Caenorhabditis elegans: one gene and its partners. The protein of the gene in region 1 purifies or fractionates together with the protein of each later gene. This does not show direct contact. Each region holds a gene or a part of one and is shown in the gene's direction. Other genes may lie near its edges.

What was found.
Region 2: the proteins of glh-1 (region 1) and dcr-1 purify together in Caenorhabditis elegans (affinity purification with western blotting, with the first as the bait; one study listed by BioGRID). This does not show direct contact.
Region 3: the proteins of glh-1 (region 1) and pgl-1 purify together in Caenorhabditis elegans (affinity purification with western blotting; 3 studies listed by BioGRID, with this or other methods). This does not show direct contact.
Region 4: the proteins of glh-1 (region 1) and pan-1 purify together in Caenorhabditis elegans (affinity purification with western blotting, with the first as the bait; one study listed by BioGRID). This does not show direct contact.

The regions. Positions count from the first base shown.
Region 1 is NC_003279.8:6,852,815-6,858,306, forward strand, and holds glh-1 (ATP-dependent RNA helicase glh-1), read left to right. Parts: upstream 1-1,663; 5' UTR 1,664-1,997; coding exon 1,998-2,037; intron 2,038-2,094; coding exon 2,095-2,529; intron 2,530-2,572; coding exon 2,573-2,647; intron 2,648-2,695; coding exon 2,696-3,946; intron 3,947-3,994; coding exon 3,995-4,098; intron 4,099-4,144; coding exon 4,145-4,326; intron 4,327-4,374; coding exon 4,375-4,579; 3' UTR 4,580-4,722; downstream 4,723-5,492. Other genes in the region: sacy-1 (RNA helicase), read left to right, coding at 1-62, 111-284, 414-532, 595-842, 887-1,083, 1,131-1,250. UniProt on the Caenorhabditis elegans protein: Probable ATP-binding RNA helicase. May act redundantly with the P-granule component glh-4 to regulate the formation of the granular structure of P-granules in embryos. Plays a role in positively regulating the localization of pgl-1 to P-granules.
Region 2 is NC_003281.10:8,077,188-8,082,300, reverse strand, and holds the start of dcr-1 (Death-promoting deoxyribonuclease), read left to right. Parts: upstream 1-2,019; 5' UTR 2,020-2,026; coding exon 2,027-2,077; intron 2,078-2,122; coding exon 2,123-2,285; intron 2,286-2,379; coding exon 2,380-2,513; intron 2,514-2,558; coding exon 2,559-2,718; intron 2,719-2,783; coding exon 2,784-2,923; intron 2,924-2,975; coding exon 2,976-3,347; intron 3,348-3,779; coding exon 3,780-3,962; intron 3,963-4,006; coding exon 4,007-4,135; intron 4,136-4,179; coding exon 4,180-4,422; intron 4,423-4,468; coding exon 4,469-4,623; intron 4,624-4,691; coding exon 4,692-5,058; intron 5,059-5,113. Other genes in the region: apc-2 (Anaphase-promoting complex subunit 2), read right to left, coding at 36-174, 216-291, 338-455, 505-652, 698-941, 985-1,111, 1,157-1,289, 1,424-1,553 and 1 more. UniProt on the Caenorhabditis elegans protein: Component of the ERI/DICER complex which is involved in processing amplified double-stranded RNA (dsRNA) intermediates during small-RNA-mediated gene-silencing or RNA interference (RNAi). Involved in cleaving dsRNA in the RNAi pathway.
Region 3 is NC_003282.8:6,973,788-6,978,998, reverse strand, and holds pgl-1 (Guanyl-specific ribonuclease pgl-1), read left to right. Parts: upstream 1-1,680; coding exon 1,681-1,788; intron 1,789-1,855; coding exon 1,856-1,987; intron 1,988-2,034; coding exon 2,035-2,181; intron 2,182-2,225; coding exon 2,226-2,584; intron 2,585-2,632; coding exon 2,633-2,973; intron 2,974-3,019; coding exon 3,020-3,162; intron 3,163-3,208; coding exon 3,209-3,380; intron 3,381-3,424; coding exon 3,425-3,948; intron 3,949-3,992; coding exon 3,993-4,382; downstream 4,383-5,211. Other genes in the region: him-3 (HORMA domain-containing protein), read right to left, coding at 463-749, 797-969, 1,016-1,229, 1,272-1,473. UniProt on the Caenorhabditis elegans protein: Guanyl-specific endoribonuclease which cleaves the phosphodiester bond in single-stranded RNA between the 3'-guanylic residue and the 5'-OH residue of adjacent nucleotide, resulting in the formation of a corresponding 2',3'-cyclic phosphate intermediate.
Region 4 is NC_003281.10:4,560,479-4,566,860, forward strand, and holds pan-1 (P-granule-associated novel protein 1), read left to right. Parts: upstream 1-2,259; 5' UTR 2,260-2,274; coding exon 2,275-2,394; intron 2,395-2,462; coding exon 2,463-2,521; intron 2,522-2,577; coding exon 2,578-2,701; intron 2,702-2,803; coding exon 2,804-3,147; intron 3,148-3,198; coding exon 3,199-3,419; intron 3,420-3,755; coding exon 3,756-3,968; intron 3,969-4,016; coding exon 4,017-4,168; intron 4,169-4,217; coding exon 4,218-4,347; intron 4,348-4,922; coding exon 4,923-5,191; intron 5,192-5,248; coding exon 5,249-5,401; 3' UTR 5,402-5,803; downstream 5,804-6,382. Other genes in the region: mlcd-1 (Malonyl-CoA decarboxylase, mitochondrial), read right to left, coding at 5,932-6,022, 6,070-6,175, 6,223-6,382. UniProt on the Caenorhabditis elegans protein: Regulates diverse developmental processes including larval molting and gonad maturation.

The DNA.
Region 1 (5,492 bases):
TTGTTGTTGCGACACCAGGACGACTATCTGATATGCTTACCAAGAAAATTATAAATTTAGAAGTAAGACATAACTTCAAAGATTTCAAAAATTGCTTCAATTTATTACAGGTTTGCCGTTACTTAGTTCTAGATGAAGCTGATCGAATGCTTGATATGGGATTTGAAGATGAAATTAAATCAATTTTCTATTTCTTCAAAGCTCAACGGCAAACTCTCCTTTTCTCGGCTACGATGCCACGAAAGATTCAATTTTTCGCAAAATCAGCACTGGTCAAACCTATTGTAAGTTTTATTTATGCAATCGAGAAGTTTCAAAAATATAATTTTTTAACCTACTCCCAAAAGTTGTCATTCTTCAATTCTTAAAGAATAATTTTTCAGGAGTTTGTCTGTAAATTATAAATATTTTAGGTCGTAAATGTTGGACGTGCGGGTGCTGCTTCATTGAACGTACTCCAGGAGCTTGAGTTTGTTCGATCAGAAAACAAATTGGTTCGTGTACTTGAATGCCTTCAAAAGACTTCTCCCAAGTAAGATTTTATTTATCAGAAAATAATTAATTTAGAAATATGGCAACGGTTTTATATTTCAGAGTTTTGATTTTTGCCGAAAAGAAAGTTGACGTTGACAATATCTACGAGTACTTGCTTGTAAAAGGAGTTGAAGTTGCTTCAATTCACGGAGGAAAAGATCAAAGTGACCGTCATGCTGGAATTGAGGCATTCCGAAAAAATGAGAAAGATGTACTTGTGGCAACAGATGTTGCATCAAAAGGACTCGATTTCCAAGGAATTGAACATGTTATCAATTTTGACATGCCTGAAGATATTGAGAACTATGGTGAATTTCTTATTTATTTTTCATAATTGAATTTTTATTTTCAGTTCATCGAATTGGTCGTACCGGACGTTCCGGACGGAAAGGTCTCGCAACGACATTTATCAACAAAAAATCGGAGATGTCAGTGCTTTCCGACTTGAAACAATTACTCGCAGAAGCAGGGCAGGAACTTCCAGAATTTCTCAAAATGTTGGCTGGTGACGAGGAGGGAACTGCTCCAGCTGGCACAAATGCGGAAAAGGTAGTTAGAAAACATTTAGAAAATCGGGAAGTTCAACATGTTTTCAGGGATGCGCATACTGCTCCGGTCTGGGTCATCGCATCACAGATTGTCCAAAACTCGCTGGAATCGGAAACAAAACGACGCAAGCATTGGCAAGAGGTGGAGGCGACGATGGTGGTTTCTGATTATTTTATTCATACATTGTATCTCAATCTATTTATTTACTGTTTTCTTGTTTACATTTATAAAAATATTTGTCAGAATTGTACTATTTATTTCATGTTTAAAAAAAGTCTGGATTTCCGAGAAAACATGAAAATAATTAATTGATCGAGTTCATTGAAAAAGAAAAATGAATTAAATGCATTCTCAAAATTCTTTTTTTTAAAGGAGACACCACGGTTTCAAGATCTGATGGGAGTCCGGATCTACGTTTTCCGGATCTACCATTTCCGGATCTACGTTTTCCGGATCTACGTTTTCCGGATCTGGCACCGTGCAAACTCTTAAAACGCTATTTTTTCGAAGAAAAAAGTGACAACGACGCTCCGATGTTACGCGTCGCGTGTTGTTAAGCGTTTCTTCTAGAAGAAAATTTCGAAAAAAGTCGTGCGTTGAAAAGCGTTTTGTGCGTTGGCACGGTGCCAGATCCGGAAAACGTAGATCCGGAAAACGTAGATCCGGAAAACGTAGATCCGGAAATGGTAGATCCGGAAAACGTAGATCCGGAATCCCATCAGATCTTGAAACCGTGGTGCCTCTTAAAGAGTCGATTCTTTAAAGGAACACAGACTTTCACACCGTTTAGGTTTCGCCACGCGCCCCAACTACAGTAACCTCGACACACTCATCTACTAAATTTTGGGACAGTTCCTAATTCTTTTTGCTGTTTTCAACTCAATTTTCTGGAAAAATCTTAATTTTCTGCGAAAATGTCTGATGGTTGGAGTGATAGCGAAAGTGCTGCTAAGGGTGAGTTTTATTTTGAACTTTCCACCGGTTTTATTTTGATTAAAAACTTTATTTCAGCCAAAACTGGATTCGGTAGTGGAGGCGGTTTCGGTGGTGGTAACAATGGAGGATCTGGGTTTGGTGGTGGTAAAAATGGAGGTACTGGATTCGGTGGAGGAAACACTGGCGGATCTGGATTCGGTGGAGGAAACACTGGCGGATCTGGATTCGGTGGAGGAAAGACTGGCGGTTCTGGATTTGGAGGTGGAAATACTTGTGGATCCGGCTTCGGTGGAGGCAGTACAGGAGGATCGCCGTATGGAGGAGCCAGTTCTGGATTCGGTGGTAGTACTGCCACATCTGGATTTGGAAGCGGTGAAAAATCAAGTGCATTTGGAGGATCAGGTGGCTTTGGAGGTAGTGCAACTGGATTCGGAAGTGGAGGAGGATCCTTTGGAGGTGGCAACTCTGGTTTTGGGGAAGGAGGACATGGCGGCGGAGAGAGAAACAATAGTTCGTTTTTTAAATTGACTTTATATAATTACGTTTGTTTCAGATTGTTTCAATTGCCAACAGCCAGGACATCGATCGAGTGACTGTCCAGAGCCGAGAAAGGAAAGAGAGCCGAGAGGTTTTATTTTGATATAACTTTATTGGCAGTAATTTGTTTTATTTTCAGTGTGCTACAATTGCCAGCAACCCGGGCACACCTCTCGTGAATGTACAGAAGAACGCAAGCCGCGTGAGGGTCGCACTGGTGGATTCGGGGGCGGAGCTGGATTTGGAAACAATGGAGGAAATGACGGTTTCGGTGGGGACGGTGGTTTTGGTGGAGGCGAAGAACGTGGTCCAATGAAATGTTTCAACTGTAAAGGCGAGGGACATCGCTCTGCTGAATGTCCGGAGCCACCCCGTGGATGTTTCAATTGTGGCGAGCAAGGTCATCGCTCGAATGAGTGCCCCAATCCAGCCAAGCCAAGGGAAGGTGTTGAAGGAGAAGGACCTAAGGCGACATACGTGCCAGTCGAAGACAACATGGAGGACGTTTTCAACATGCAGAAAATTTCGGAAGGCCTTATGTTCAACAAGTTTTTCGATGCCGAAGTTAAACTGACTTCATCCGAGAAGACTGTCGGTATCAAACCTTGCAAGACATTCGCGGAAGCTAATCTCACGGAGACCATGCAGAAAAACGTTGCTCATGCTGGATACTCCAAGACCACTCCAATTCAGCAATATGCTCTTCCACTTGTTCATCAGGGATATGATATCATGGCTTGTGCTCAAACTGGATCAGGAAAAACCGCTGCATTCCTTCTGCCTATCATGACTCGTCTCATTGACGATAATAATCTGAACACTGCCGGAGAAGGCGGTTGCTATCCCCGTTGCATCATCTTGACTCCAACTCGCGAACTCGCTGATCAAATTTACAACGAGGGAAGAAAGTTTGCTTATCAAACAATGATGGAGATCAAACCAGTTTACGGAGGATTGGCTGTCGGTTATAATAAGGGTCAGATCGAAAAGGGAGCCACGATCATTGTCGGAACTGTCGGAAGAATCAAGCACTTCTGTGAAGAGGGTACCATCAAGCTTGACAAATGCCGCTTCTTTGTTCTTGACGAGGCTGATCGTATGATCGATGCTATGGGATTCGGAACTGACATCGAAACTATTGTCAATTATGACAGTATGCCGAGGAAAGAAAATCGCCAGACACTCATGTTCAGTGCCACTTTCCCCGATTCTGTACAGGAAGCAGCTCGCGCTTTTCTCAGAGAAAACTACGTGATGATTGCAATCGACAAGATTGGAGCTGCAAACAAGTGCGTCCTACAGGAATTCGAGAGATGCGAAAGAAGCGAGAAGAAGGACAAACTTCTAGAGCTTCTGGGAATCGATATCGACAGTTACACGACCGAGAAAAGTGAGTTTTTCGTTTTCTTATTTGATGAAATAAATTTCAATATTTCAGGTGCCGAAGTTTACACAAAGAAAACCATGGTCTTCGTTTCTCAAAGAGCAATGGCTGATACACTGGCTTCAATTTTGTCATCGGCTCAAGTTCCAGCTATCACGGTTGGTATATTTCATTTTTGACCGCTTTTTAATTCAAAATGTACAGATCCATGGTGCCCGTGAGCAGAGAGAGCGTTCAGAAGCTTTGAGACAATTCCGAAATGGATCGAAACCTGTTCTTATTGCTACTGCGGTCGCTGAACGTGGACTTGATATCAAAGGAGTGGATCATGTCATCAACTATGACATGCCAGACAACATTGATGACTATATCCATCGTATCGGAAGGTCAGTTATATTTTATTAATGTTTCAATAATGCAAGCATTGTTTTCAGAACTGGAAGAGTTGGAAACTCTGGAAGAGCTACAAGCTTCATCTCGGAGGATTGCAGTCTTCTGTCCGAACTTGTTGGTGTTCTCGCCGACGCACAACAGATTGTTCCAGACTGGATGCAAGGTGCTGCTGGAGGCAATTACGGAGCTAGTGGATTTGGGTCCAGTGTACCAACTCAAGTCCCTCAAGATGAAGAAGGCTGGTAGAAAACCGACCAATTGATAGTGTTTCGCATTTATTAATGCTGTCAGTTCCCCCATATTTTATCCTGCCCTTGTTGATTTTTAATTGTATTTGTTGGTGTTGGTTGTCGTTATAGTCCTCGCCGCATAAACTCTGTTCAATATCATGCTGTTCACGACTTCAACTATTAGTTGCATATTAAATGAAAAGAATTTTAACAAGCAAACTAGGCAATATGATCTCATATCACATTGCTCTCTCAGCTAATCAACTTCAATAATTTGTTTTCCGATTCTCCGCGGCGAGCATTTTTCCGCATACAGAAACTTTAGGCTCAATTCTTTATTTATTTTCTTTTTTGCTCTTCTCTCACTCGCTCATTTCCGGTCGATTTACATTCGTTTTTTCGCTTTCCTCTCACCTGCTTTTTTGCTCCCGTATTTTTTCTGTTGGCTTTGCCATTCCATTTACGGTTTGCTCAGTGATCACAATCAGGAAATAGAGTTTGAGAAGAAGAGTATTAGGGAAAAGAGGAAGAGATGATGCTTAGTTTCTGTTTCGCTGTGGCATTTCCTGTGTGCTTGTCTATCAATTTCTTCAAATATATTTTTAGTAATACTGTAGTAAGGTGTATTCTCAGTAGCACGTGGTGGGGTCCCACTGCGAGAGGGGTACTGTAACATACAATTTTTTGCGAAAATGTTTTCAGCTCCTATCTGCAAGTCGTCATCTCATTTTTTCTTAAATAAGTGCACATTTTCTATTCCGTTTCGTTTATTAACTAATAAATATAACTTCAAAAATCAAAAGGATTTTTTCTTGAAATTTCGAAAAAATTCCTTATGCATAAATAGATATTTCAAACGACTGTTCTGATGAAATCTTGTTCAGACTGCTTGATTTTTTCTTATTTTCATTGAAATTCGCCTCAAAGTA
Region 2 (5,113 bases), on another chromosome or scaffold:
TGAACTTCCGTGAGTTTTTATCTGTAATCACTAACCAACAGTAGCATCAGTTGGGTTAGGCATCCAGTTTTCCCATCCAAGCGTCTCCATATTTTCTGGCAAAAAATCATCGTTGACACCTTTCAGTTCTTCCTCGTCCATCATTGCCGATCGAACAGTTTTAGACTGTAAGCTCTTGAAAAGTGTTAGAAAACGTTTTTTTAGTACACGCTTACCATATCTTTTTCCAGTTCATTTTTCTTATTAGAAGTAATGTAACTGATAATTTGTTGTACAGTGTCAGGTCGCCTTCTGAAAAAAAAATTAAATATAATTAAACAATCAGGAAATAGCTTACTTCAAATATTCTCTGATAACTCCACAAACTTTATGCATAACCACGCAACTATTGTCCATTTCACGAAGAGATTCTACGCACGCCGCATAAGCTTTCAAAATGTCTTTTGTATCAACCGCTGAAATTTTAAATATTTAAGTTTTAAATAATTCCCCTCACCAACTTACATGCAACAAGAAGTTTTGTGTTAACTTGATCTATCAAGTAATTTGTGAAATCGACTCTCCCATGATTATTAGTTCTCAAAAGGCAATATTTCATTGTGATGAGACTGCGAAATTTTACTGGAAAATCTACGGCGATCATTTCATATGCCTACAAAAAATATTTTTTAGGTTCCAAATTTTTTTAAAAACTCACGTTTTTGGAAAGCATTTGGAAGACATCTTTGTAAATAGTGTCACTAATTAAATGGAATGCGTCTTGCATTGTTACTTGATCTGACCAAATCCTCAGACTCTCCATAATTTCTTGAAACATTGAACATCTCAGCTCATTGTCAAAAGCCGCTTTCTCGTGCATCACCAATGTTGCAGCAAGCTCGCGAATATACACTGAAAGTGCTGCGTTCATGTGACGATTTGCATTGAGAATTCCAGTTTTTCTGAAAATGTTATATATAATTTAGGAAGTCAGGCTTTACCCACAATTCATTGACAAAAGGATTAAAATCTTGAACATATTGCCCGCATATTTCTTTTTTTTCTGGTGTCCACAGCTCTTGGTTTAAATCGATTCCATGATCGATTTTTCGATGAGGAAGGTACATGGCAACTGAAAAATGTTATTGGAAACTGGGGCTGAATGAAAAAAAAATACGTCTGTAATTAGTGAAGTGCGACATAAAATAAGGTCTGAGAACTTTGATAACAACTTTCTGCATGGCCAGTGGGAAGATGAGCTCTGCAGCATCGCGAATATCCGGTTGACCAACGCCTTTTTCCAATGCAAACTGAAATTATTTTCCATTAGCTTGTTACACCTCTATTTTCTGACCGTTTTCCATAAGGAGAAGATTTTTCAGAGCATTTAATTGAGAATAAGGCTAATTTGTTCTTGATTGGATTTAAAAATTTTAAAACTCACCATCAGGCATTCTTGCTGTACTCGTTGCAGAACTGTCGTCATATCATAAACTTTTTCAATATTTTTTGCGTATTTTGCGTGATATATCAGAGCATCCCAGACTTCTTTTTTCTTTGAGACGCAAAATTGTCTGAAAACTGTCTTTACGGAACTCATTTTCAAAAATTCCATACCTGTACTTCATCGCAGCCTCTTTCGAAGTAGTCATTCTGTCAAAAATGGACATTTTCGAAATGGTTAAAATAATTTCAGCAAGGATACGAGAAGAGAACGATGACAAATGTGTGAGAAACTGTATATATTAAAGGATCATGCTTAAAACGAAGGTTGGGGTCTCGGAAACTACATTTCCACAAAAACCGCGAATAAATGTTCCTTTAAAAATTATACGAAAAAATGTTTGTTTCTTTTTTTTCACACGATTTTTCAGAGTATTTTCTTTCAAATTTCTGTCGATTCCACTTTTCCTCCGTCTTTTGAATGTTCCCATGAAAGAGACATAGACATTGGTTCAGTAGAGCGCATACTACGGGGCAGTCAGCGGCAATTATTTTTTATTGTAATTTTTGAACATTATCAATTTTCCCTGTTTTCAGACCAATAATGGTCAGGGTAAGAGCTGATTTACAATGTTTTAACCCCAGGGACTACCAGGTAATTTTTAAGTAGCAAAATAAATTAAAAATAATCGATTTTCAGGTGGAACTTTTGGATAAAGCGACAAAAAAGAACACAATCGTCCAACTAGGCACTGGTTCAGGAAAAACTTTCATTGCAGTTCTACTGCTGAAAGAATATGGAGTTCAATTGTTTGCACCATTGGATCAGGGTGGAAAACGAGCGTTTTTTGTTGTAGAGAAAGGTAATTTCGTCTATTAAAAATAAGCCAGCTGGCCAGTAAAGTGAATAATTGACAAAAAAAAACAAGATTTATTCTAAAACATCATTTTTTCCAGTAAACCTCGTTGAACAACAAGCTATCCACATCGAAGTTCACACAAGTTTCAAAGTTGGTCAGGTCCACGGACAGACAAGTAGTGGTTTATGGGACAGCAAAGAACAATGTGATCAGTTCATGAAGAGGCACCATGTGAGTGAGAATACGAAGCTGAACTATCGAGCATATATATTTCAGGTTGTTGTGATCACAGCTCAATGCCTTCTTGATTTGATTCGACATGCGTACTTGAAAATTGAAGACATGTGTGTTCTGATCTTTGACGAATGTCATCATGCTCTCGGTTCTCAACATCCATACAGAAGCATCATGGTCGATTATAAGTTATTGAAAAAGGGTAAGTATTGAGGAATTAATGGTGAAACTTCGAATTCGCTTCAAAATACGGAAATATTTTTTCAGACAAACCCGTCCCACGTGTATTAGGACTCACAGCCAGTCTTATCAAAGCGAAAGTTGCGCCGGAAAAACTAATGGAACAGTTAAAAAAGTTGGAATCTGCGATGGACAGTGTTATAGAGACAGCTAGTGATTTAGTCTCGGTATGATTTAAAAAAGACAAACAAAGACTTGTTTCCAATAAAACTAATTTAGCTCTCGAAATACGGTGCGAAACCCTATGAAGTTGTGATCATCTGCAAAGACTTTGAAATTGGGTGCCTGGGTATTCCGAATTTCGACACAGTTATAGAAATATTTGATGAAACTGTAGCCTTTGTGAACACCACAACAGAATTTCATCCAGATCTAGATTTGGATCCTCGTAGACCGATTAAAGATTCTCTCAAGACGACGCGAGCTGTTTTTCGTCAACTGGGACCTTGGGCGGCATGGCGAACGGCTCAAGTTTGGGAGAAAGAGTTGGGAAAAATTATAAAATCTCAAGTGCTACCGGATAAGACGTTGCGGTTTTTGAATATGGCAAAAACATCTATGATTACGATTAAAAGATTGTTGGAACCGGAGGTGCGTACCTAACAAGAGACGTTGGAAAATGGTACCTCGAAGTATCGTTATGGTATAGCAATTTTTCGACAAAAAAGTGTTATCATTCGAAAAAGTTCGTAACTCCCTACTCACCAAGAGAGCTACAAATCTTGAGCAAGATTTCAAATTGTAAGATTGTAGCTCAATTCATGGCTTTTTGAGAATTATGGGCTGAAGCTTGAATGCTATATGTTTTTTAAAAACAATTTACGAATATTTGGAAACACTTTTTTTAAGTTGAAAGTTTTTTCAAAAGGGGTGAAACTGCTCGGACGCAGCTGAATTTTTGGAATGATCCTCAATAACACTTTTAATCTAAAATTACTATTCTATATTGAACTCCAAGTTAGCATTTTCCAACTTCCAGTGTAAGCAATCAACTATTAATTACACCAATTTTTTCCAATTTAGATGAAGAAAATCAAAAGTATTGAAGCTCTCCGTCCATATGTTCCTCAACGTGTCATACGTCTTTTCGAAATCCTAGAAACTTTCAACCCCGAATTTCAAAAAGAACGAATGAAGTTAGAAAAAGCAGAACATTTATCAGCCATTATTTTTGTCGATCAACGGTACATTGCATATTCGTTACTTGTAGGTTTATATGAATGTTACGGTAATATATTGTAAATTTTCAGCTTATGATGCGTCATATTAAATCATGGGAGCCTAAGTTCAAGTTTGTGAACCCGGATTACGTCGTTGGAGCCAGCGGACGAAATTTGGCGAGTTCGGATAGTCAAGGATTACATAAACGACAAACTGAAGTAAATTTATGTTTAAATTATCATTGTCTAAATATAATTTTTAGGTTCTTCGCCGTTTCCATCGAAATGAAATCAATTGTCTTATCGCTACATCAGTGCTTGAAGAAGGTGTAGATGTTAAACAATGTAATCTTGTGATTAAATTTGATCGACCACTTGACATGAGATCATACGTTCAGTCAAAGGGAAGAGCTCGGCGAGCTGGATCAAGATATGTTATCACTGTTGAGGAGAAAGATACTGCGGCGTGTGATAGTGATTTGAAAGATTTCCAGCAAATAGAAAAAGTAATATTGGAATCTTCAGTTCAATTGTTTAAAAAATGATATTAAGATTCTTCTTAGCCGCCATCGTACAGTCAACAATCCTATTGAAGATGATTCGGATAGATTTGAAGAATTTGATGTTGATTCTCAAATGGAACCATATGTTGTTGAAAAAACTGGTGCAACATTGAAAATGTCAACTGCTATCGCATTAATTAATAGGTATATTAATAATTTCACTTTAGAAGTTTAATCCAACAGCTAAATACAAACAATTGGTAATCTTCCAGATATTGTTCGAAGCTTCCTTCCGATATCTTCACTCGTCTTGTTCCACACAATCAAATCATTCCAATTGAAGAGAATGGAGTGACCAAATACTGTGCAGAGCTTCTTCTTCCAATTAACTCACCGATCAAACATGCAATTGTGCTCAAAAATCCAATGCCAAATAAGAAGACTGCACAGATGGCAGTTGCACTTGAAGCATGTCGACAATTACATTTAGAAGGAGAACTCGATGATAATTTACTTCCAAAAGGAAGAGAGTCGATTGCCAAATTATTAGAACATATTGATGAGGAGCCGGATGAGTATGCACCTGGAATTGCTGCTAAAGTTGGATCATCAAAACGAAAGCAATTATATGACAAAAAGGTATTTTCGTATATTCGATTTTCTAAAAGTCGCTCAATTCAATGAAAATAATTTA
Region 3 (5,211 bases), on another chromosome or scaffold:
TGAAAAGCCCATGTGATTCTTTTATACTTCTTCTTCAATTTTAAGCCTTTTCCTTCGTTTTTTTCTGCACGGTGAATTGTCCCATTTTATTAATTCAATATTGAACCTATTTTTAACACCCAGCCAACAGTGCAAGTAATGTAAAACTTATTTCAAATGAATATTCACTTCTCATTTGTCCGAATTCCAACACTGCTTCAATGAAATAAATTTATCTGAACTGGATTTGAATGTTTGGTCCATTTCAAAATAATTTATTACGCTACTTTTTTCTAAATCTACGAAACACCAGACTTACAGTGAAAGAAAAATAACTCAATCAAACAGATGAAACTATACGTGAAGAAGATAGATTGATATCACACAAGAGAAGACAAAAGCACGACAATCAATGAAATTATAAAAACAATGGCTAAAAATATAAAACAAGAGAAACATTGCACATGAGTGAAAACTTTTCGACTAGTCCTTATTCTTCTTCGTAATGCCCTGACTGAGACCGTAAGGGGAATCTCTGGAAATTCGTCCCTTCCTTTTCGATTGGTTTGCCATGATTGACATATTTGGATTGAGTGTGGTCGTTTTATCCAGATCGAAGTCTTGCTTCAAGTATTGTGAAGCAGCAAGCATTTGAATTTTGTGATGACCGCCACACACGATTCCAATAGATGCTTTCCTAATATCCTGATTCAGCGTATAGAACATAGGACTCAGCAGATAGCCTTCGGGTGTATAGTCTTTTGGAGCTTCTTAAAATAACAGTTAGAAATAGACTAAAGCTGTGAATGTAACCTACTTTCAGTGTACGAAACACGGAAACTCGCGTCGGACCCTTGAGGAAGCGGCTCCATTTTCTTGATACACCGGTGAAGTTTCTTGATTGTGCTTGCAAACATTTGTTTCGTGTTGTCGGTATCAACGAATTTCGCCTGTAACAGTTCTTGACTGCTTTCGTTCGTGTCGATTCCGCTGAAAACAATTGAAAACGAATAATTGAATAAGACCAGCAGCTTACTTATTTAGAGATACGAAAATCTCTCCTTCATCTCCATAAGCAAACCTGAACGCAAACACTTCATTAATGTCTTCCTCGTTTGGCTTCTTGTAGAACACGATTGCGAACTCTCGCAAATAGCCTTGTTGAATCGCATCTCTCAATCCGTCGAATGTTGAAGACACACGCTTTGCGGCAGGAACACTGCTCTGGAATGCGGTGACCAACAGTTTATCTGTATAAAAATATTTGTGATACATTGTAAAATAAGCCATACCTATTGTTCGAGTTTTGAAGCATTTTTCGTCCAAAATGCCACGGCGATCGAGAATGAAGGCCGAAGCACATTTTATGTAGCGAAGCGCAAACATTTCAGAATTTTTTTCAATCTCTAGATCAACGGGAAACGTGGCCTTCCACTGGCTGGCTATAGGAATTTCAGACTCGCGGTGCTCAACAATCTGCTCTTTCGTCGCCATCGCAAACCTACAATTACTGAAATATCATCGTGAAACAAATTAAAATGTTTAAAAAATAATATCTATAAAATCTATAACAAGTTAAACATATTATTTAATTATAAAACCCCGCATTGATTAAACATATTTTGATTTGAAAAAAAAAACTAGAAAATAGGTAAAATAAATCTGGAAATAGTTCAGAAACTTAGAAATTATTAAAGGCGCATGGAAGTTTCAGATCTACGGGTCTCGAAACGAACAACTCGACGCGAACGCGGAAGTTGCAATTTCGATCTCGTCCCAATTTTCTTTTCCGTTTTCTTACTTTTTTGGGTAAATTTTGCGTTTTTTTGAATTCTAATCTCGAAAAATTTTTTAAAAATTTAAATATTTATTTCAGTTTCATCCATTTCACATGGAGGCTAACAAGCGAGAAATTGTGGATTTCGGTGGGCTGAGATCCTACTTTTTCCCAAATTTGGCCCACTACATCACGAAGAATGACGAAGAACTGTTCAACAATACATCTCAGGTTGGACTATAATATTTAAAGACCGATTTTCTATTATTCAATTTCAGGCCAATAAGTTGGCTGCTTTCGTGTTGGGAGCTTCCAAAGACGCTCCTGGAGACGAAGACATTTTGGAGATGATCTTGCCGAACGACGCTAACGCTGCCGTTATTGCTGCTGGCATGGACGTTTGTCTTCTTCTCGGAGATAAATTTGTAAGTGTGAATTAAACTTATTGTAATCAATTATAACGTTTTAGCGTCCGAAATTTGATGCTGCTGCTGAGAAATTGTCAGGATTGGGACATGCTCATGATCTGGTTTCTGTCATCGATGACGACAAGAAGCTCGGAATGCTCGCCCGTAAGGCCAAGCTGAAGAAGACTGAAGACGCTAAGATTCTTCAAGCTCTTCTCAAAGTAATCGCAATCGATGATGCCGCCGAAAAGTTTGTTGAGCTCACGGAACTTGTCAGCCAACTGGATCTGGACTTTGATGTTTATGTCCTAACTAAAATCCTCGGACTTATCTCTGAGGAGACTAGCGACGAGGTCGACATTATCCGTGATAACGTCGTCAACGCATTTGATAGCTGCAAGCCGTTGTTGAAACAGTTGATGTAATTGTTGTCCTTTTCAAAATAATTCGATTTTTTTTTTCAATTTAGGTTGGATGGTCCGAAATCTGAACCTGCCGATCCATTCATTAGTCTCCTCATGGATCCACTCGAAGAGTCTGTTGGGAAAGTTGTGAACCATATCGCTCAACTTTTCGAGGAAGCGAGTAAAAATGAAGGAGACGAGTCACTTGTCTTGAGATCTCAACTCGGATATCAGCTCTTTTTCCTTATCGTTCGTTCACTTGCAGATGGAAAGCGCGAGGTTTCCAAGAAAATCCTCTCTGGGATTCCTACGAGTGTCAGAGCGGAAGTCTTTCCAGGATTGCAAAGAAGTGTCTACAAGAGTGCGGTGTTCCTCGGCAATCACATCATCCAAGTTCTTTTAGGATGTTAGTATTTTCGTCTTTGTTTACTTTTAAAATCTAAATATTTCAGCTAAGAAGTCTTTTGAGGATTGGGATGTTGTTGGAGTCGCGAAAGACTTGGAGAGCGCCTGGAAAAGACGAGCCATTGCGGAACTTATCAAGAAGTTCCAAGTCTCAATTCTAGAGCAATGCTTCGATAAGCCCGTTCCACTGGTGAGTTAATGATTCTATAAACATTACTTACATGACCGTTTTTCAGATTCCTCAGAGTCCACTAAACAATGATGCGGTGATCGATAATGTGAATAAAGCTCTACAGTTTGCACTGTGGCTTACAGAGTTTTACGGATCCGAGAATGAGACTGAAGCGCTGGGCGAGCTTCGTTTCTTGGATTCCACTTCAAAAAATCTTCTCGTCGATAGCTTCAAGAGTGAATATTCCTTTTTTTATCTCCTGTTAACTTTTTAATTTCAGAATTTGTTCAAGGAATCAACTCGAAGACTCATGTCACTCGAATTGTTGAATCACTGGAGAAGTGTTGTTTGTCCGATACACCAAGTGGCAGAAAGAGCAATGTGCAACCATCCACTTCCCAACAGCAGGATTCCGCCTACACGAAAGAGGAAATGACGACGGTTCACAACACATACAGCGTAAATACTAAAGCTCAAGTTCTCAACGGTCTCAGTGATACCAATTCTTCCGGGTTACTTGTCGATTCAAAGGATTCACTCAGTCTTCAGGAGATTTCTTGTGACGAAGTGGATTCTTCGACTTTGCTAAGCTCATCAAGAAACATTGGAGAAGGTGTTACTGTAAAAGCGGTCGATCCTGTCCCAGAAAAGGTTAACGATGCACAACAACAGCAAACAGTTAACGAGATCGAGATGGCTTCGGATGCCAATCAAGATACTTCTTCAAGTGCTTCGCCAGAAGTAGCGCCAAGTTTTTCCACCGATGGCTGGGATTCTCCAACGAAATCAGTAGCTCTGCCACCGGTATCGCGTTCATCGTTTCAGAATTATAAAAATATTTCTTTCAGGGCATGCAGCAGATAGATGAAGAGGAAACCACAGTTGCTGACAAAGATTCTACACCACAACCACAAGCTCGTGCTGAAACTGCATGGGGGTCAGGCGACGCTACTCCAATGCCTCTTCCTGCCCCGACTAATCAATACAAAGTCAGTGGATTTGGGGAAGCCAAAGTTGCAAAAGGATTCGGTCAATTTGCTCCCACCAGTTCAGCTTATGGAGGAGGAGGTGGTCGCGGAGGATATGGCGGTGGAGACCGTGGAGGCAGAGGTGGATACGGCGGAGATCGTGGAGGTAGAGGTGGATACGGCGGGGGAGACCGCGGAGGACGAGGTGGATACGGCGGAGATCGTGGACGTGGTGGTTACGGGGGTCGTGGTGGACGCGGAGGTTTCTAAACTCCAACTATTGAATGTTTAATTTGTTTTTTAAGTATACACTTCTTGTATACTTACACGTTTTACGCACATTATTTATTCTAACAATCTTGTTGTAAAATCCCTAAAACCTTGACTGTCATTTATTATTTATTCAACCTGTTTTTCCTTGTTCCCGGTAAATGTTTGAACTAGATTGTTGCAAGAAATTAACTCAATTAATTACACGTATATCTCTTTCTGCGGCTTGATGAGAAAAGTGATGTCTGAATCGACGGTGCCGAATGATTGGTGGATCATAAAATTAACAGGTGGCACTGCATGCATTCTTATACAATTTCAACTGATCTTATCATACATTTACGCATATTAGAGTTGTAAATCGTTATGAGACATCTGCATTCGAACATAACAAATACCGTATTTCTTCTATTAATATGGCTGCAATACTATTTTTCGATGGTCTTCCCGCTTGCAATACTAATAGGGAATGCAAGACTATTAGGGAGTGCAATACTAATTTTCAGAGCATTTTCTGACTTTGAGCTTACTAGTTTTTTCCTGAAAAAGCTCGAATCATATGTAAAAATTCAGAAAATTTGATTTTCATATAAGTTCAAAAACTTCGATCTCGTAGAAATGATGTGAAAACTGTTGCAAAATAGGCAAAAAAATGTTGAAATCCTAAAATTAGCGAGACGGGTTTGCAATACAAAAAAGTTAACGCAAGACTACTAGAGAGTGCAAGACTAATAGGGTGTGCAATACTAATTTTCGGAACGTCTCCGAGGGGCAATACTAATAGGGAGTGCAAGTCTAATAGGGAGGCCATATTAATAGAAGATATACG
Region 4 (6,382 bases), on another chromosome or scaffold:
ACGTCATTGCCAACGAACTTCTCGAACACGGAACAGCCGCCCCGTTGCCGCGCGGAAGAGATCATTTCTCCGTTTTTTTTAAAGAACCTCTCCTCAGACACACCCCGTTCATTGAGAAACGCAGACAGCACACGAAAATGACCTCGGCCTTCAAATAAAGGCGAGAGAGTGTGTAAAATATAGAGATAATCGACAAGACGGGCAGCCTGACACTGCCTTGCACGGACTCTGCGTCTCTCTTTCCTTCCCACTCTCTCCACGCTTCCCTTCTTTTTTTCTTCTCGTTCCAATCGCCGACTGCGCAATTTCTACGTGGGTGCCAGTGCCCAGCTTGCGTTTTTTGGCGATATTATTGCGTTTGTTTTCGAAATTCGACTTAACAAAGCATTATTATTTTAAAACATACTTTATTACATATTTGCAAGCTTTTTCAAGATTCTTCAATCGCGCTCCATTGAGAAACTTCAATTTATTTTGATGAGCTAGTTATTATATTCTTCAACATTAATTTTGTTTTCCAAGTTCAGTTGATAAATTATTTATTTTTTAATTCTCCTGTCGTAATTTCGAGATTTATTATTCTGATGGGTCTCGCCGCGTAAAATGTTTATGGTGGAACCAGATTTTTTTCTTTATTCAGAAGTTAATGTGTTTTTTTCTACCTCACGATATCTCACTATCGTAATAAATTAAATTAAATTAAATTAAATTAAATGTGCAAGCAAATTTATCCGGTTATAACTATATTGTTCAAGTATTCTGTATTTTAATTACTATTTTTAACAACAAAAAAATCTACCATAAGCTTTTACCGCGGCGAGACCCATCCGAATGAATATATGCACCTTTAAATGTATGTCTTAGAAAATCGCGAAATAACGATAAATCCATGAAACTTTTGCAATTTGAATTTTTGAACAATTCCCGACCTCTGCATCGTTATCAGTATGTTTGGAAGAAAAAAGTGATTGGGCAGTAAAATTGTCTATGTCAATATGGTTTCTGTCTGAAACTCTTCTATTTGAAACTCTGATTTTGAAATGACCACGCCGGCGAACGTTTTGGTGTTTGATTTTGAAAATGATTTAAATAAATTGTAAATATTTACAACAACAAAAAATTCCGAGCGATTATTTAAAAATTGTGCGTGAAATGTGATGTATTAAGGTTACTGGAAAATAAATCACATTTTACTATTCAATTTTTTATGCAACTGAAACTCCGCGAAAGTACAACAATGATTCCTCATAGGTTACAAAGAGTTTCTGAAGTATTTAAAATAAGGAACAATTGATAATTCAACATTCAAAATCACATGCTTTTTTTCCGTGACAAGACCCAAAAATTTCATAAGATAGGTTTGGTTTCAACGTGAAATTACTTCATAGGATCTTGGCACGAACCTGACTTTCCAGACAAATACCGTACTTACAAGTTTTTCCAAATTTTCACTGTTTGATTTCTATTCTAAAATTCTCGGGGGTACTGTAGCTAGAATTTTTTGCTCGTTCCAGGACCCAAATGAGACATTTTTCTTTAGTAACCTTGACATAATTCCAGAACATGTAATTTCCCGTTTTCTGATTCCTTAAAGTAAGTTACCCAAAGATATAGTTTCATTTATTGGAAGGTCATGATAAACCACCTTGACACCTTTTTCTCTAAACTCTACTCTTATCTAGTACTATCTATTGAAAAAAAGAACTAATGTTCATCTCCCTCTTCTTCTTCTTCATTTCAATCGTCTTCCGCTCCTCTTCTCTTCCTGCAGCTGTATTTGAGTGTGCCCAGTCCGGCGCGCCAGCACAGCCTGGTACTCTCAGCATCCCTCGCACTCTCTTCACTTCCAACACTACTTTTCATGATCTATGTTTTCTTTTTCATAGCCAACTTTAGGCGGCCGCTTGGTGCTAGTGTTTGGGGGCGACGAGCAATTTTTTCAACGTGAGAAATATTTTGAAATGCTCTCCGTTCGAATACTTGTTGGTATATGTAGATCTTAATCAGTTTCCGATTTTTTAATTTTCTACCATAACCTTTCCTCGTGACGAGACCCATCCGGATGACCATTCAAACAAATCCTTCCGTCTTCAATTACGAGCTTCTGTGAATTAAGATTTTACGATCACCTGAATTTACGTCCAAGTTTCAACGATCTTATTCCTACCACATCGAGTGAATCGTTAATATTTTTTATTTTTTTCTTCTTTTCTTCTTTGCCAGTACAAAAATATCAAACCCTATCTCCTCATTTCTCAGAAACGTCGACATAAAATGCGAAGCTTACTCAGCTTCGTCCTCCTGGCACTGGCCAGGATAGCAATTTCAGAAGAAACAAAAAGTTGTATTGATATTGAGAAAGGATTCAAAGAAGAATTTAATGCACACAAACAGGTAAATTTTGGAATCGATTAACTCGACGGAGTTTGATAATATCCAAGAAAATACCTGTAACTTTTCAGCCAGTATGCATCTGCGCCGACAACGGAATTTTCAGCACGGTCAAAGGATTTACTATAGAGTATGTTGAATTTTACTCGACTATAAAACTTCTTGAAACTGAAATTTTCTTTTCAGATGCGAATCCGCTTCAATTGCATCTGTATCTGAAAATTTGGCTTCACTGAATGGCACAGAATTGGGACGTCTCACAATAAGAGATTCTACAGTTAATGTTCTTCCACAGGATCTTTTTGAGAATGTAAGTTGAATTACAATAATGCCAATCAGGACAGAAACGTATATCACTAGTTAACTTTTTTCTCATCGCGGCGAGACCCACTTAAATCAATCCAATTTTCAGGTCTTCGCTAAACAAGTTAAACTCGAACGATGTGGTCTTTCAACTCTTCAACCAAATTCCTTCCAATCCCTTGGAGGATCAGCTGAATTATTATCTCTCCGCGAAAACAGAATTAAAAAACTGGAAAAGGGACTTTTCACTGGACTTAAAAGTCTCAAAACTCTTGATTTGGCAATGAATAAGATTCAAGAAATTGATGTTGGAGCATTTGAGGAATTGAAAAAAGTTGAAGAACTTTTACTCAATGAAAATGATATTCGAGTTTTGAAAACTGGAACATTTGATGGAATGAAGAATTTGAAGAAGTTGACACTTCAAAATTGCAATCTTGAGATTATTCAAAAGTATTGTTTAATTTTTAAGAAAATAATATTTCAATAACCAAATATTTTCAGAGGAGCATTCCGTGGTCTTAACTCTCTCGAACAGCTTATTCTATCAAATAACAATCTTGAGAACATTGACTGGACAATCTTCTCAGCCTTGAAGAATCTTCGTGTACTTGATTTGGGATCAAACAAGATTTCCAATGTTGAGATGAAATCGTTCCCAAAACTTGAGAAATTGGTTCTCAACAATAATACTATTGATTCAATGAAATCTATTAAGCTGAAGGGTTAGTTTTTCTACCTTAAATAGTTTTTGTAGGCTAAAAATTATGGCCTCGGGTCCTGGCCCTATCGAAATTTTTTATATACCGTAAAAAATTAAAAAAACATTTAATCTTACGTTTGGAGAAATTTTCTCTCAATAATTGATAAATAAATTTTGAAAACTTTAAAAAATCGTAGATAACTAAAAAATAATCTCGGGTACGGTAGATCAAAAGTTTTCCTCGTGCTAGGATCGAAGGTCGACATAAAAAATTACACATGGTCGAAACTAAAATTTTTGTCTAACGATTCTTAATAGAATTATAATCCTTTTCGTAGAATAAAAATAATTTATTCAGATCTTCCATCTCTCGTTGTCGCCCTATTCGATCGCAATAAGATTGAATCAATCGGTGATATGGATATGTTTGGATTAACAAGATCTGATAGAATTGAAACATTATCCCTTGCAAGAAATAATTTAAGTCAAATCAGTCCAAAAGCATTTCAACACACTCCTAATTTGATCACACTTCTTCTCCAATATAATCAAATCGAGGAACTTTCAAGCCGTAAGTTAACACATTTCATTTTCAAAAAAAAATTAATTTTTTTTCCAGATTCCCCCTCCCAAGTCCGTACTCCATTCCTCGCATCTCTCAAGAAACTTGTCACTCTTCAACTCTCGTCCAATAATCTTTCAGTTATCCGTTCTGATGAGCTTCCAAAATCTTTGTCCAGTTTGGCACTTGATCATAATGTCATCTCAAAGGTTTGAGCATTGAAATTTTCAAGATTCTCATTCAATAGAGTGTTTTCAGATCGAGGCTCGCGCATTGGAAGGAATGGAAATCAAGAGATTGTATTTACACAGTAATAAGCTTAACTATTTGTATCAAGGAACATTTGACTCATTCTCACCAAAATCTGTGGAGGCGGTTGATGTTTCATGTAAGAATCTGCTTTTATCTGTGCTTAAAAATAAGTTTTTATCAGCATTTGAAACAAAAAAAAAGAAAACTAAATTCATAATTACACAATTTTCAATATAGATGATTCACCTACCTTACGAGAAAAGTTTCAAATTGATCATCACTTTTAAATGAATCGCAACATTTTTCAATTTTTGCGTCAAAAATACGGTATTTGGTCTCGACACGGCCATTTTCTGTTAAGTAGAAACAGGTGTGCGTCCTTAAAGAGTACTGTAGTTTCAAACTTCTGCTGTTGCGGCCCTAGGATCGATTTTTCATAGTTTTTCTCAGATTTTGTTTAAATTTATGAGTTTTAAATTTTGTAATTTCAGTTTTTTTAATAATCAAATATATTTTAAACGAACAGCGATGAAAAATCTATGAAAATTCCACAGCAACGAAAATTTGAAACTACCGTACTCTTTAAAGGCGCACGTTTTTGTGATAAAGAAAAATTGTCGTCGTTAAATAATAATCTATCTGTAAACGATAAATTTGCATCGAAGATTTTTTAAATTATTTTGTCCGCGTTTACAACAAAACAAATTCCAGTGAATCCATGGGTTTGCGTGTGCAACGACCCGAAAGAATGGCTTCCACGATGGCTTGAGGCATCTGAGGAGGCAGATGTTGCTGAAGGAGCACTCGGATGCTTGGCAATCCCAAATTGCGGACAGAAAGAAGGATCCACAGTAATGCCAGAAGAGGAAGAAGTTTATCGATCTGGATGGATTACTGTAGCTGCCACCATTTTGACAATTGTCACAATTGTTATTATGGTCATTATTGCTATGCTTTATTTCAAGGATGCTAGATACCAGGTATATATTAGTTTTTCCTGCTGAAAATGAAGTACAATTATTTAATTTAATTTTCAGTTCCCACTTCGCGGTCGTCGTTCTGATTCTGATCTTCATAAACTGATTGAGAATGATCCATTGAACATCGCATCTGACTCAATTCTCGTCGTTCCAGCAATGCCAAAGAGGAATACTGGGCCGAAGAAGACTGTACGATTCCAGAATTTTTAAAGAAGAAAAATTTCATAACCTCAAATCAACAAAAAAACACTCACTGGATAATAATAATTCATATTCTCCCCGGTTGAATACCTCATTTTTCTTCGCTTTTCTTCTTCTGTAAATAGCCATTTGAAAAGTTTTCTTTTCTATTCCTTCTCTCGTCCCAACCCCCAACTCGATACGTGTTCTTTCATTTTTCTTGTTTTCTCAATCTCTCTCTTCAATACTTCTCTCTCTCACCCCTTCTGAACCACCCAACTTATCAGGTATCCACCACTGATCTTTTTGAAATCTTCATCGAACAAGTTTTCAACATGTACCTATAGGCACCGCGATCCCTGTCAAATATCCAATTTTTCTAATATTAATATTATTGTTATGACATAATAAACAATGCACTAAGTAATTAAAATTTCGAAAATTTTATTCACAAGAAACTGGGCAAGCAATCACACGAATTTGTTACAAGTATAATATGACACATTAACTAGACTAAATTCTTGAAACTCGAATACATATGAGGAGCTGGGTGAAAAGATTCAGAAGATATCCAAAACTTTCTGATTAATCGCCATCTTTTTGTGTTCAGTGTAAGCTGCACTGTTCTCGTGAACCTTCTCCAAATCGTATCTGAAAATTAAATTTTTAGACTCAAAAAAGGTTCGACCGAGTCATACCTGTAGTTTACCATAATTCCAAAACTGTTATTGATCCCTCTATGACTCGTATCTCCATTCCAATTCAGTCTATACAACTCTGCGCCGTTTCTAATGTGGAAGTTTGCTTAAAATAATTTTTTTTTCAATGCTTATCGATAAAATCATGCTTACCAACTGAATTTAAAGCCATTCCATTTCGTTTTGCATTACAAAGATAATGAGCACACGCGTACATCAAAATGTGCTGGATTGCATTGAGCTGCTCCTTTTTCGTTTTTTCATTGCTTATGACTTTCAGTAGAGTTTCGGTTGCTTCTACTTCGTTCATTTC